Linked DNA regions of Saccharomyces cerevisiae S288C. The gene in region 2 interacts genetically with the main gene of each other region. Each region holds a gene or a part of one and is shown on either strand. Other genes may lie near its edges.

The links.
Region 1: mutations in MUP3 (region 2) and DAK2 together harm fitness more than expected from each alone (negative genetic interaction), as found in Saccharomyces cerevisiae (one large-scale study listed by BioGRID).

Annotation. Positions count from the first base shown.
Region 1 is NC_001138.5:19,376-27,613, reverse strand, and holds DAK2 (dihydroxyacetone kinase), read right to left. Parts: upstream 4,192-8,238; coding exon 2,416-4,191; downstream 1-2,415. Other genes in the region: AQY3 (Aqy3p), read left to right, coding at 4,827-6,767. UniProt on the Saccharomyces cerevisiae protein: Catalyzes both the phosphorylation of dihydroxyacetone and of glyceraldehyde.
Region 2 is NC_001140.6:21,935-30,069, reverse strand, and holds MUP3 (Mup3p), read right to left. Parts: upstream 3,830-8,135; coding exon 2,189-3,829; downstream 1-2,188. Other genes in the region: putative ATP-binding cassette multidrug transporter VMR1, read left to right, coding at 1-2,092; YHL037C (uncharacterized protein), read left to right, coding at 3,891-4,292; CBP2 (Cbp2p), read left to right, coding at 4,561-6,453; EFM1 (protein-lysine N-methyltransferase), read right to left, coding at 6,530-8,135. UniProt on the Saccharomyces cerevisiae protein: Very low affinity permease for methionine.

The DNA of each region.
Region 1 (8,238 bases), on a different chromosome or scaffold from region 2:
ATCGTTGAGATGGCATGTAGGTTCTAGATTTGTGACGACACTCAACAAGAAAAGTTTGAGGTGAATATCTTACCCGCGACATCTGGAGCGAGAAGAAAGCCGTAATCGATAACGTATTCTCTCAATGCTGTGGCGTTTCAGTAGTATTTTGTTATTACCGACGAAAACGGTTCCTCAAGAAATAAAATATATCTAGAGGTAAGTTGCAAAACGCTAGACTATTTATGGCAAGATTAGTATTTGCTGTCGTGATATCATAAGTAGAGACACATGTTCAGCTTCTCACTTGAATTTAGGTTAGAACAAAATCTTTAAACAGCAGTTACAATGAATGTTTGGGAGACCTAGTCAGTCTCCATACTGCCAAGAAAAAGGTTAGTCGAACTGGAAAAACAAGGCTGTACTGCACCCTAATGTTTCTTAGTAAGCAATTCGCTATCGACGCCGAATACCATGAACATCAACCTTGTGAAAGCTTTCGCATATTGGCGCTCAAGAGATATAGACGGTACTAGTGAAAGAGAGACAAGGCCGCCGGATTACTTGCTCTCGTCATTGTAATTGTTCAATTTCACAGACATTTCTCTGGCATGTATCCATTGGGGCACCACAATAAGGGAATATTTTACAATATCGTAAGCTGTTCGTAATACGCGGCTTCTCTTTACTCAAAGCCCAATGAATCCTGGCTTCGAAAATCATACAAACTGTGAAATCTACTTATTTGAAATGACAAACACTGCTTCCCAGTCTGGAGGCTCTCTTTGAGGATAACTAACATGTATGGCTAAAAATAGTTAAAATAATTGAGACGACATTGCACTTGCTATAATCAGACTTCAATAACATATGCATACAAGAAACTTCTCTTTTGAAATAGGAGCGGGGCTCCATCACAAAGAGATTGAAATTTGATACTAGCTCTAAAATCGAGGCAGGGATGTTCCAATGATCGAGTTTGTCATGAAATATAAGGATGTTCACGTCAAGCTCGAGAAATGTTTCAAAATACCGCGAAATAACTCAAAAAGCTGGGTCACGAAGAAATGATTCTAGAAACAGGCGCTTATGCTCTTATATAATGAGATGTCTACATCGTCAGAACTAAGTGCGAAGAATACGGCCTACATTAGAGATTCTTCAAGGTAGTGAAACGTATTCGTGGCAGTGGTTATGGAACTGCCTTACGGTTGATTCAAAAGACTCATTGCATACTCAATTTAAAACGGCTCAAATCATTTGAAAAAATAATAGGCAATATAAAATAGAGAAATCACAGCACCTTGACGGACTGATATTACGAATAACGAGTATCATTGCCAAAGTTTGGCGTATGGGCGACGTGCGTCCATGCAAATCTACAGTAGATATTTTCAAAAGAGATCATTGTCAAAAAGATAACTAACTACTCATGCTTTGAGGGCATGCAAAGTTTCCAGAAAAAAAAAGATGAACCACACTTAAGCTGAAGCAAATTATAAGTGTTGAAATGACTAGGCGCAGTTAATACGCAACTCAATCAGTCAACACAGGCTGGTTACTTTCTAAGTTACAGCATAAGTTTAGAGTAATTATTGAAATCTGTTGATATAGGTTGATTTCTTAGATGCATGAAATGCAGCAAGATCTTCATATGATTTCAGAGATTAGTCAAAAAGTTGTTAACAGTCATGCATAATATCACTAATTGGTAGAACAAGAATCAACTACTTTATTTGTCAATATTTTCAGAGAAAAATTGATGTATAGGGTTGACCATAAAATAATGAATGACACCATTTTTTTTTTGAAAGAGAAAACAAGATACAAACATTTAAAATATGCTGTTGAGTTCAATGCCTTCCATGAATTAATAAGATTAGGAAAAAAAATTACAATACATTCTATACTTCTAATACTACGATCTTTATTGAAATCGAATCCGAAATAAGAGAATCATAAAACTTAGATTGCTATCCTAGAACTTGTTCATAGTATCAGAGAATGTGCAGATCTTCTAAAAAGGAATTGAGACTATTCATAGGTAAGAAAACAGCGGGGAAAAGAAAGTTAACACCTGTTTGTTGACTTGCGAGAAAAAAGAGATTGGAATGGATTTAAACACTCCGATTTAATTTAAAGAAAACAATGGCTATTCAAAAAATCTTCCTGGACAAATTATACTTCCAGACAACACAGGGGAACGGAGAAGGAATCAAGAAAAGTAATTGTAGATTGCAGAAAGAACAATTAAAAGCTGCAAGAAGCATTACTTTTTAGCTTAATTTGCGGTACTTCATCAATTCGTATATCTATAAAAATATATTCAGAGACACAACTAGTTCACCTTCAGTTGGAGTATTCAATTTTTTAAAAAGTTCAAAAATGAAAGCCTTTAAAGCTGTTATGTTTGGCTTCTAGTGTGTACGAGCAATTCTAGTACCCAGCAGCTGTAACAAATCCATCGAGTAGTGCAGCAAGACCAACTGCTCCTGGATCTGGTAATCCACCTTCGCTGTCGAGTTTTCTCAGCTCCTCCTTAGCCACGTAAGAAGCACGCCCAACAAGGGCATCCATCTTCCTTGTCTTTTCGGCACCATCATAAGCAGCTTGGGCGGCGGCTCTGGGACCCTTCCCGGCTTTCAGCGCTTCGACAAAAGGTTGCAGAGCATCGATCAGAGTCCTGTAACCAGGACGGGCTCTCGTATACTTATACAAAGCATCTAGTGCAACGTTTGATGCCTTTTTGAAAGTTTCCGCAGTAAGTTCCTTGTCCCCAGAATCCCTAACTCCTTGTGCGAGAGCAGAAAGATAGATAGAGTACAGACCACCGGACGTACCACCCATAGAATCCTCAACCATATACGCAATATCTTCGATACCAAGAGCAGCATCCTCGAGGCGCAACGTATGGTTTTTAATAGCTTCTTCCAATGCTTCACCACCGGACACAAGAGTAGTTCCGCAATCACCATCTCCTGCAATGGTATCGTACCAAGTAACCTTTGGTTCAACCTCGTTAATTTTTGCAATCCCAGCAAGCAAAATTTTAGCAAAAGTGTCATAATCAGCTTTCACACCCGAACCTTTTTCATTCCTCAATGTCTTTAAAGAGGGGGCGGTGGGAACCTGCCCTTTGGCAAGTACCTCCCAATCTTTGGCAGAATGGTACATTTGATTCCATCCACTCGCTGTGGTAGGATAATCGAAATACTTAAGGATATCGCCACCAGCTTTTGAAGCGTTCATAAGAGTGATACCAAACCCAGGACCATTCAATGCAGTAATGAATGCTCCAGTAATCGTTCTCTTGGGCACAATTTGATACTTATCAATCAATTGTTCAGAAATGACCTCTGCAGCATAACCCAATTCTAGATTAGACATACCACCCATGTTGTTAACCATAAGAACTACGTCCTCTTTGGGCTCAAACTTCACATAAGAACGGTCTTCATCCTCATCGAGAAGAAGAGGAAGCATCTGGGAAACGAGCTCAGAAATCGATGGCAGCGGAGAAGACTTATAGGTACCAGACTCGTTATGAATACCCATACCGATTTCATACTCATTCTCGCCCAAAATGGCTTCAGGTTTGTGGCCAGGAACCGTGCAGTGATCAAGAGATGCCGCAATTGTGACACTATTGTCAACTACTGACTGAGCAACTTCGGCAACTTCTGCCAACTCCAGTCCATGAGAAGCGGCTGCCCCAGCAATTTTATGCACCAATACGGTGGCTCCGAGACCTCGACGCCCGACTAAAGAACCTTTCTTCTTACCGACAGAGACATCATCTCCTACAGCAACCAGTTCGACTTTCATTCCAGCAGCTTTAGCTCTTTCAGCAGCGAGACCAAAATGTATAATATCACCGGTGTAATTTTTTACAATGATCAAGGTACCCTTAGGAGATTCAACAGCTTTAATAGCAGAATAGATCTGTTTAGTTGAAGGAGAAGCAAAAATGGCACCTGCTGCAATCGCATCTAAGGCACCTTCACCAACAAAACCGGCATGCGTTGGCTCATGACCACTGCCACCTCCAGAAACCAATGAAACTTTAGGAGGGTTCCCTGAATTAGGAGCTGACGCAGTCCGGAAAACCACTCTGTCGTGCTTAATCACTGTAAGGCCGGGATTGCTTCGAGCAAGGCCAAGTAGGTAGGGAGTAACGATGTTTCCATCTGATTTGAATTGTTTGTGAGACATGATTATTTAGTCAATTGTAGTTGGGTTTTGTCAGATTTTGAGGTAAAATACACTTTACAGACAATACTAGAAAAAAAAAGGGCTGATCTGGGTTCATTTATATATATTTAATGATCCAAAGTTTGAAAATTCAATCACACATTGCGGTATTTTCCCCTTCTCGTATTGTTGAGATCCTTATACAATATCAAGTACTTAATTATCCAACTATGGTGACGTAAGAATTTACTTGGCTCAATATCTCCCTATTTGGTACTACGATACGATTTCATGAAATTATGAGTTAAATAATTTAGAATCTAGTTATGGCCTGGCGGGAATTGTTTCTGTGCAGGGATTTACTCACAATCACCCTCTGCGGGAATAATATGCATAGGTTGTGATTAATTTTTTAAATTAAGTTCCATCAGAAGGCCTAGTTTTCTCCGTTGATAACTCCGCTCCGGAATATCATAATTTTCCGGTACCCCACTTACCCCGGAAATTTGAGTTATAAACGTTGTTTGAGCTTTACCTAGTCTTGGTCGATCAAAAGTTCTGGTACCTTTTCACCATGTCTCCCCCTTATTCATATAAAAAGAAGCGTATAATCGCACAGTATAACGCTCCTCTGATATATGATCTAGACCCAAGTAATGAGTTACGAATCTGGGAGGTCATCCTCCTCTTCCGAGAGTACACGGCCACCAACGCTAAAAGAAGAACCTAATGGTAAAATAGCTTGGGAAGAAAGTGTCAAAAAATCTAGGGAAAATAACGAAAATGACAGCACTCTCTTGAGGCGAAAGCTAGGTGAGACTCGAAAAGCAATTGAAACTGGAGGATCATCGAGAAATAAACTTTCTGCTTTGACACCCTTGAAAAAAGTGGTTGACGAGAGGAAGGATTCGGTACAACCACAGGTCCCTTCCATGGGTTTTACTTATTCTTTGCCTAATTTGAAGACTTTAAACAGTTTTTCAGATGCTGAGCAAGCACGTATAATGCAAGATTATCTATCCAGGGGGGTAAATCAAGGCAACAGTAATAATTATGTAGACCCACTATATCGGCAATTAAATCCAACTATGGGTAGTAGCAGGAACAGGCCTGTTTGGAGTTTAAATCAGCCGTTACCGCATGTATTGGATCGAGGCTTGGCAGCAAAGATGATACAAAAGAATATGGATGCAAGGTCCCGCGCATCATCGAGACGAGGGTCGACCGATATTTCAAGGGGGGGTTCTACTACGTCAGTGAAAGACTGGAAAAGGCTCCTTAGAGGTGCAGCACCGGGTAAAAAGCTTGGTGACATCGAAGCTCAAACGCAACGCGATAATACTGTTGGTGCAGATGTGAAACCTACTAAGTTAGAGCCTGAAAACCCACAAAAGCCCTCTAACACGCATATTGAGAATGTTTCACGTAAGAAAAAGCGTACTTCGCATAATGTCAATTTTTCATTAGGCGATGAAAGCTACGCATCCTCCATAGCCGATGCAGAATCCAGAAAATTAAAGAACATGCAAACCCTCGATGGTTCTACTCCGGTTTATACGAAGCTTCCTGAAGAACTTATTGAAGAGGAAAATAAAAGTACGAGTGCATTAGATGGTAATGAAATTGGTGCCTCAGAAGATGAAGACGCGGATATAATGACATTTCCTAACTTTTGGGCAAAAATTCGCTATCATATGCGAGAACCGTTTGCGGAGTTTCTCGGGACACTAGTTCTTGTCATTTTTGGTGTTGGTGGTAATCTTCAAGCAACTGTAACAAAAGGTAGTGGTGGTTCCTATGAATCCCTATCATTTGCATGGGGGTTCGGTTGTATGCTTGGTGTTTACGTCGCAGGCGGTATTAGTGGTGGTCATATTAACCCTGCTGTTACGATTTCAATGGCAATTTTTCGAAAATTCCCCTGGAAAAAGGTGCCCGTATATATTGTTGCTCAGATTATCGGTGCATATTTTGGAGGAGCTATGGCTTATGGTTATTTTTGGAGCTCTATCACAGAATTTGAGGGAGGTCCGCACATAAGAACAACGGCGACCGGTGCGTGTTTGTTTACTGATCCAAAGTCTTACGTCACGTGGAGAAATGCCTTCTTTGACGAATTCATAGGAGCCTCTATACTTGTGGGTTGTTTGATGGCGCTATTGGATGATAGTAATGCTCCACCTGGCAATGGTATGACCGCATTAATTATTGGATTCTTAGTCGCTGCAATTGGTATGGCCCTTGGATATCAAACAAGTTTCACAATCAATCCTGCAAGAGATCTCGGTCCTCGCATATTTGCTTCCATGATTGGCTATGGTCCACATGCTTTTCATCTCACACATTGGTGGTGGACATGGGGAGCCTGGGGTGGTCCAATTGCCGGCGGTATTGCTGGAGCACTCATATATGACATTTTCATTTTTACTGGATGCGAATCCCCAGTCAACTACCCAGACAACGGTTATATTGAGAATAGGGTAGGTAAACTTTTACATGCGGAGTTCCACCAGAATGATGGCACTGTCTCAGATGAATCTGGTGTTAACAGCAACAGCAACACTGGCAGCAAGAAATCTGTGCCTACTTCGTCATAATTAATATTTTCAATTTTTTACGATTTATAACCTAATTATTAATTTCACGAACTTATTATTTGACGACATACTACATCCGGGAGCCGTGACTTTGTTACCATCTCTTACTTGTGCTCTAAATTCTATCGTTTTGTTTTTGTAATAAAGAATGAGACTGCCTGCGGCTTAATTGTCTTTTTATTGTAGGCAAGAACAAAATTCGACTAATACGTAAAATTAAATGTCAAACCAGGAGTCTCACATTATGTTATTAATAAAAATAATAAAATTTTCAGCTCGTTGACGATAGGAAAATTCCTGGCACCATCAACTAGGTAATCCCACTGAAGATGTGTTTTATATGAATATGTGCTATATTTACTAATAATAAAGAGCAAGTTGCCAAATAAACTAATTGTGCTCAAAGAAAATTATTGTCATTATCATATATTTTCTCATATGCAATTTCAATCAATTTTAGACAAGTGATTATATATATGTAAACGGTTGTTTTTTGATGTTACGTTCTGTATGATTGACCAATGCTATTTTTCTCATGCGATATAAATTGGAGAAGTGCCATATTGATTTACGTTACTCAAGTTGTCAATTTCAGCCTGACGTTGAAAAAGATAACAAAATTTGCTCAGATAGGGGCAAAAATCACACTGCCAGCAAATATTTTAAGGATTGATACTTTGGCTAATCCAAGGCCAAAGCAGAAAAATCTATCACCTTTTTCAATTCACCCAACGTTCTCACTAAATGGATGAAAATTCGGTAGATTCTTATCGTATATTTCGTACCAATAACTTGAGTATACCGAACAATAATATAACTCGGCAGTCATTTCCGGCTATACCGTTTTCAGAAAGAGGTTGCCTTTTGATAATGTGGCCAAACGAGGAATTATCTGTTAAAGCCATTATTACATCTCTCAGCAAACTAGTTTTTTAAAGCCACCTCAGCAAAAAGCGCGACCAGGACTTCTTCGGATGTTCTTGGCGTTATTTTGAGTCTTTTGTTTGTTTTACTAAAACCCCCCTAAAGATTAATTATTCTCAAAAATAGTTAACAGGCTGTCTGTCGCCACTCGAAGTCCGGAAAAATGTGCACTTATCTTTTAAGTCCGCCTACCCCGCATCTTCTTTTCCAGGATATTTTTCTCCGAGCACAGAGATTCCGCAAGAGTTTAAAAGTACAATTAACCTTTTATCTTTAAGCTTTTTTTTCCGGAAATATAAGGTTTTCGTCAGGTAAATTTATTTTGGGAGCAGCAACAACATATTACACGTTCCACGTATTTCCCATGATAAAATATATTCATTTCCCCTAATATTTAACTACAATAGTCAGCTCTTCTACAATCCCTAAACGAGCTTTTGATTGGATAAGTGCAAATAAAACAAGAACAGTAATCTTGAATCTTGCATTTGCTCTTTTCTTTGGAAAACACGCAAGCTCGTATAAACTGTATTTTTCAGGAACAGGA
Region 2 (8,135 bases):
AAGCAAAGGGCTTTTTAAGGAAAAATATGTTCAACTTTCTTCTCGAGATAGCATTAATGAAAAGAACGCTAATAGATTAAAAGCTCCCAGAAAAAATGACTCTCAGAAAATCGAACCTGTCACCGAGAACATAAATTTTGATGCAAATTTTGTCAATGATGGCCAGCTAATAGAAGAGGAAGAAAAATCAAACGGTGCCATAAGCCCCGATGTTTATAAATGGTACCTGAAATTTTTTGGAGGCTTCAAAGCTTTAACAGCCCTGTTCGCTCTTTATATCACAGCTCAAATTTTGTTCATCAGTCAGTCTTGGTGGATACGACATTGGGTCAACGATACCAATGTACGAATAAATGCTCCAGGTTTTGCGATGGACACGCTGCCATTAAAAGGGATGACCGACTCTTCGAAAAATAAACATAATGCATTTTATTACTTAACCGTATATTTTCTTATTGGTATCATTCAGGCAATGCTAGGTGGTTTTAAAACAATGATGACGTTTTTATCCGGTATGCGAGCCTCCAGAAAGATCTTTAATAATCTGCTAGATCTAGTTCTACATGCCCAAATACGATTTTTCGACGTGACGCCGGTTGGTAGAATCATGAATCGCTTTTCAAAGGACATCGAAGGTGTTGATCAAGAATTGATTCCATACTTAGAAGTAACTATATTTTGCCTAATTCAATGCGCATCAATTATATTTCTCATTACCGTAATAACTCCTCGCTTTTTGACAGTCGCCGTTATCGTTTTTGTTTTATATTTCTTTGTGGGGAAATGGTACTTAACGGCAAGTAGAGAATTGAAAAGGTTAGATTCAATAACCAAATCACCCATTTTTCAACATTTCTCAGAGACCTTGGTAGGCGTTTGCACAATTCGTGCATTTGGCGACGAGAGGAGATTCATTTTAGAAAATATGAACAAAATTGACCAAAATAACAGAGCATTCTTTTATTTATCAGTTACTGTCAAATGGTTTTCTTTTAGAGTCGACATGATTGGCGCATTCATTGTTTTAGCATCAGGTTCTTTTATTCTGCTCAATATTGCAAATATTGACTCGGGTCTTGCCGGCATTTCTTTGACATATGCCATTTTGTTTACAGATGGTGCTTTATGGTTAGTTAGACTGTACTCAACATTTGAAATGAACATGAACTCTGTTGAAAGACTAAAAGAATATTCTAGCATTGAACAAGAGAACTATCTTGGCCATGATGAAGGCCGCATTCTACTTCTAAACGAACCATCGTGGCCAAAAGATGGAGAAATTGAAATTGAAAACTTATCTTTACGTTACGCGCCAAATTTGCCTCCTGTCATAAGAAATGTTAGTTTCAAAGTGGATCCTCAAAGTAAGATTGGGATTGTCGGAAGAACTGGCGCAGGCAAATCTACCATAATAACGGCATTATTCAGATTACTAGAACCAATAACCGGATGTATCAAAATAGATGGGCAGGATATAAGTAAAATTGATCTCGTTACATTACGTCGTTCCATTACTATCATCCCTCAGGACCCTATTCTATTTGCAGGTACAATCAAAAGTAATGTTGATCCATATGATGAATATGATGAAAAAAAAATATTCAAAGCACTTTCACAAGTAAATCTAATTTCTTCACATGAATTTGAAGAAGTGCTTAACTCGGAGGAACGCTTTAACAGCACTCATAATAAATTTTTAAATCTTCACACAGAAATAGCTGAGGGCGGCTTAAATCTGTCCCAAGGTGAAAGGCAATTGCTTTTTATTGCACGATCATTGTTACGCGAGCCAAAGATAATACTTTTGGACGAGGCTACTTCCTCTATTGATTACGATTCTGACCATTTAATTCAGGGTATTATAAGAAGTGAGTTTAATAAAAGCACAATTCTTACTATTGCACATCGTTTGAGATCTGTTATCGATTACGACAGGATAATTGTGATGGATGCCGGTGAGGTAAAAGAATATGATCGCCCTAGTGAACTGTTGAAAGATGAACGCGGTATATTTTATAGTATGTGTCGTGACAGTGGGGGCCTAGAGCTTTTGAAGCAAATAGCCAAGCAATCAAGTAAGATGATGAAATAATCGAATGTTTCTTTCTTTTATTCAAAGATGAGGATGAATATTATTTATTAAAAATGCAATAGTAGTCTATAAAATATTTATGTAGAAAAGGAAAAACTAACACAGACATGGCTTTTTCACCCATTCTGTGACAATGAGCCCATCATGCAAATAAGTGATTTTGGGTAAAAGTTTATAATGGAAGAATTTAGGTAGTAAAACGAATTTAACTAACCAGAAAAAGAAGCATGCAACTATTACCAGTAATGACATGATTTGGTAGGGCGGCAGGAACCCAACTCTGTTTAGGCTAGGGTCGGCAAAGAATGGTGCCATCAACATGTATAATGATAATGTAATAATGGCTAATACTCCAAAAGTAGATGCACGAATCTCTGGGACTTCGTTCTTGTGTTTGAACCTCCAAATAAAGAGCCCAATAGCGACCAATAATAAGAAAAACTGATTACCATAACCATCCATCGATACCAGATAATTGAAGGATTCGCCCTCTTTGGGTAAAATCAATATCCAAGCAATGGTTATAAAGCCACATAAAGAAATAGATGGTAGAGGTGCATCAAATGGCCAATTTTTGGACATATGAATACTGAATGGTAAATAACCTTCTTTGAATATTTCCTGGTTAACTCTTGATATACTGTAAATGACAACCAGAATATTAGATGCTGCAGAAATGGCGATAGAAAAAGCAATGAATTTGCCACCAACTCTGGGTCCGAAAAGTTTGGTAAACAACACGGAACCAACCAGGGGGCCTGCACTAACAATTTCCTCATATGTCAAAACTTTCAAGTATGCCACATTCATCATTGTGTAGCAGACAAAACAAATTATCAACGATAAGGGACCTGACACCTTCAACGTCTTAACGGGATTCTTAATTTCTGATGTAACTGTGTGAACTGTATCCCATCCAGAAAAACAAAAGAATGAGCTGATAAAGGCAGTAGCAATAGAGGACACCGACAGGAGAGAATCTTTCTCAACTTGGGTTACTGGGAGGTCCCAGGCAACTTGACCGGTGCTTTTATAAAAGAAAAGCGTGTATAGCCCGGCAAAGCACATCAAGACAATCATGATCAACTTCAAACCACCAAGTGCGTTCTGTATAAACACTCCGTGCCTTACAGAGACACCGTGAATGAGAACGGCAAATATTATAAATGATATGCTGACGTACTTGGACCACGAATCATCCGTGACTCCAAATGCGCTCAACACGTATTTACCGAAGACGATAGATCCCGTCAATGCATAGCCAGTTAAAACACTGTAACACGAAAACACCACACTAATTAATAGTCTGGGTCTTTCAAAACTCCGTTCGAGGAAGTTTTTACGTCCACCTGATTTCGGTATCCAGGAACCAAATTCTAGAAAAAGATACAATCCTGCAAAAGCGATCGCAGCGCTAAAAACCCAGATCGCAAAATATATCAGCTTATTACCACCTGTATTCAGTAAAATCACACTGGGTACTGCAAATATACCTGACCCCATTATCCTCGAAACAAATAACACAACCGTGGAGAACACACCTAAATGTCTTCCCTGTGGAACTTCCATGAATCTTGCCGTCTCTGCCTTTATCGCCTGCGCTTCCACAGTATCCATCGAACTGAATGATCCAGTATTTGTGGAACCATATTTTGTGGTAATATCACCAACTTCCACATCTATGAAAACATCTTGAGAGGGATTTGCTTTCCCACTATTAAAAAGCAGCGGTTCCATTTTTACTTATTTTGAGCACTGTACGTCTACGTTGCCCTCAGCAACTTAGACTACAAACAGAATGTACAGATCATCGATAAGCATCCAGGTCTTTATATGTGTATTGTTTTTGCCCCTTGACTCAGGCAGGCCTCTAATCTATATGATTGATTTGTCATATATATGCAGCGACGCCACAGTTTTTTCCGGCAAGAGTCGCGTGATCTTTTTTTCTAATCCAATCTGTGAACATACTAGAGGAAACTTCTACCTTTTCTACCTGAATTACATTATCAACACTTTTGCACCAAAAAATCGTGGTACTAGGAGATGCAAACCTTTTGGTCTCCACATCAATTGCAGGAAAAAGATTGACTGTTTGCATGTGCAATTATCTTATATATTATGTAAAAATAAAAGTAGGAAACGCCACATGGATGCGCATGCCATAACCCTTGCATGGTTAGCACACGCCCTCACGTGAGTGAATTTGCCAAAATGATAGTCAAATGTGTTGATAGTTCGATAAGAGGTGAAGTTGGGGAACTAAAGGTGGAATAGAAAATGATAAAACAAAGGAAAGAGTGAAGATTGCCGCCGAGTAGAATCCAAGATTGGTGTGTATGGGTGTATTTAGTGAAAGTTCAATTGCATTGAAGATGACAAATTATGCTTAAGTGAATGGACAATGAAGGCTTCTCTTGAAGGAGTAAGGCTGCGCTGAAGGAAAGGTTTGAGACAGAGTGACCAAAATGGTGAATTGGCAAACATTGTTCATGGTCTCATTGAGGAGACAGGGCAGTTCCTCTCGTTACAGGTATAAGTTCAACATGGAGAATATCACACATCAGGTGTTCCCTCGCTGTAAGCAAGCGTTTAAGAAGACAAACTTATCTTATGAATATTGTGATCTTGAAGGAGTACTGTATAATATTTCACTCACGGACTTGCAAAAACTGCTATTACGTGATATAAACGCCCCTCGCGAACACGCATTCAAGATTGTTAGAACAGATCTAACTCAAAAATCCTCGAAGAAGAGGATCCAACACTGGGAACGGATTGCGCCTATGTTTGACCACCCCTTAAGTCTCTACGAGAAGTTGTTCAGCGAAATGGATGAGGACTTCAAGCCATCTTTCGAGTGGCAACAATTAATAAGGGTACGATGCAAAGATGATAAGTTGAAACTGCAGCGTGTAATTTGGCCTAAGTCGATATTTTCAAACTTTTGTCGGGGAATCGGGGTTAAGAAGAGCACTTACGATAGACTCTTGGAACAAAATAATGGTGAGGTACCCATGTTTGTAAACCCAGCTAATGCAAAGCCCTTGCCTCTTTTCCAGGTTTCCGATGAGGCGATGATTGGGGAATTCGATGGAATTGGTATTTTCCCTTACTTTGTAGATAAACATAGAGAATTTTTCGTTACTGAGGTAGACAAATTGAAGACCAAGATAGCTTCGCCACTTTGCACCTTGAATGAACGAAAGCGCATTGAGAAGGCTAACGCTGGTCGGATACTGGCGAACGAAGAGGGTAAACCATTCTATCTGGATGCAAACAGTGCCACAACTCGAATCGCTGGTGGTAATGTCGTCACTTTGAAGCAACTTTTAGAAAGATCGGTTAGCCATAAGACATTGTGGAGCAAACAATCAAACAAAGACAGAACGTGCCCTGGAGACATTTTAAGAGCTACAATATTATCAAACGACTTCTCCATCCGGCAATTGAGGGCTGAATTTTGCAAAAATTTCATTCTCTACAATATATTCACCATTTTACAACGTAACAAGAAAAGCATCCGTTCCTTCTCTGGTAACGATAATGCGCCTTCCTTTCAATTTAGTTGGAATGTTTGGGACTCATATATATGGAAGCAATATCAAGAGACCGAGTCCATGAAAATACCCACGGACCAAGCTTCTCTGATCAACTACAAGACAAAATACGACTCTTTTCTTCATGACCTACAAACATATTCCGCACTGGTAATTTCAGAAATGAAATGGAACCAATTCTCTATTTTCCAAAATGATGAAACGACTTTATCAAGATTTGAACACATCACATTAATTTTGCAAACCGTGCTGACAAAATCGAAAATGATTAGAATTTTCCAGCCAAACTTGTACAAGTTTATGCAAGATGATTTAAGACCAACTTTAATGGAGTTGGTGGGTTTCACTGAGTCAATAAATGCAACAATAGAACCTGGTTTTGCGAATGAACAATCGCTACAATCTGCAAACGGATTAAAGAAATTGGCCAACCAACTTTTATACTTCGAACAGGAAATATATGGCGAAAAGTTCCGCGTAAATAGGCCCATCCAGCTTCGTCCAATAACATTATCAGCAAACTACAAAATTGTTATTCTGGATAAGAAGAACGCCATACCCGAAATATTTCAAACCCTACTGAAATTCATGACACAAATAACGACATATTTTGTTAAAGATTTGTCGGAGGTAGAACTTCATGGGCACATGCATTGTATTGATAAAAAAATGCTGGACAAGTCGAAATTCATGTATTTATACGAAGAGAAAAGCAACGAGGAAGTGAAAGCAGCTTCTCCTCAAAAGGAGAAGATAGTAGATAATATCATTGGCCTATTATCAAATGATGAAGAACATTAACATGAATTGGAAAAAGAAAAAATTGCATGTAAATATATACATACGTAGAATTTTATACTTAGGCTACAGATCAAAGCTAAATCTGTAAGTCGTATGCCTTCTTCATTAGAAATATAGGCTCTTTATTTGATTTCCTGATCCAAACCAATCTATCAATCGCAGTATCTGCCACAATGAACTGTCTTATGCCCCAATCACCGACACTATAAATTTCTGGAATTCTCTCCGATAAATTAGGGAAGTATTTTTTATAGAACGGCAAAAACTCCATAACATCTTCTTTTTCAATGACAATTGAATCACTAACTTCTTTGAAGGTTTGTTTAATGAAACCTCCCTGATTATTACTTTTATCGTTGATTAATTTGACTATCCAGAGCAACAATGCGTCATTAAGACAGTCTTTTGTGATCAAATCTTCGTAATTTATAGCACCAAATACCAGTAAGAGAGAATTGGCAAATATTTTGTCGTTTTTAAAAATTGTCTTGAATGACAGAGAAAACTCCTTATTATTGCTATATATTTTTTTTTGTAAAACGGACAATTTCTCAGTAGTGGCGTTCAGAATTTTTTTGTTATCTTGATAGTATAGTTTGATTAGTTTAATAACATGAGGGCGTAATTTTTGAGTCGAAGAAGTTTTAATTTTAAAATTCTTATAAAACAGCAATCTCTGGGATACTACAGATGTTAATTGATCAATACCTTCCAATACGCTCCTTACGGTTGGAGTTTCTTCAGACTTTAATTTACTTAGGTAGGCAAATAACGCTAGTAGAACCGGTGGTAATGGTTCAGAAATTTTTAAACTAAATTGTAAAATGGTAGTTTCTCCATCGTCAGTAACAAAATTACCTGATTTGTTAAAATCCACGGGCAAACCGCTAACTAAGGTGGATGGTAGCTTTAAAGTCAACCTAGAGAAGTCAAACTTATTCGAGGAATCCCAAAACCCGTAGTTTAACAAACATTTTTCATTAGAAATATTACCATAATTATTAAACAATTCATCCTGTGCACTAAATGTGGTAGTCTGCGACATGAAACAAAGTTCATTTTGTTCATTCATCTCCCATCTTACTGGTACATCGTTTTTATGGTTTAATAAATCTACTATTGGATACAAAAATCCTTCGTTCAGATTGGTGCGGTCTGTACCGGCCCTGCCTAAAATGACACGAGGAAATGCCCTAGAATTAAAGATGCAGTACGACCAAAGATACGCCACGAACGAGTTCCATTCCGAATCTTCTAGTTTACATCCATTGATGTGTGCGCAGAACTGTTCCAACGGCACTACGGCAGAGTCTTTATTCTCCTGGAATAAAGACAAGAACTGCTTATCTTGAGAAGAGTGTTCAATAGATAAAGCTTGGAACAGCATCCTCCACTCCTTTACTAGTTTGTTCAGCGTATCTCTCATAGTTAAGTACACGTCTGTACCATGCAAATTCATGACTTCATCAGTAGACCAAAAATATGGTTGTGGAAGGTGCAAGGGTAGCACATCTAAATATGGTTTGTAAAAGGATTTCAGGTGAACTGCATCGGTGCCAAATTTCAACTTTGACAAGTACAACTGTGTCACGGAATTCAAAAGACTCCTTTCATTAGCAGCCTGGGAAAATTCTGATAAAGCTTGCTGGGAAGTGATCAGCAGAGTTTCGGGTACCCTAATC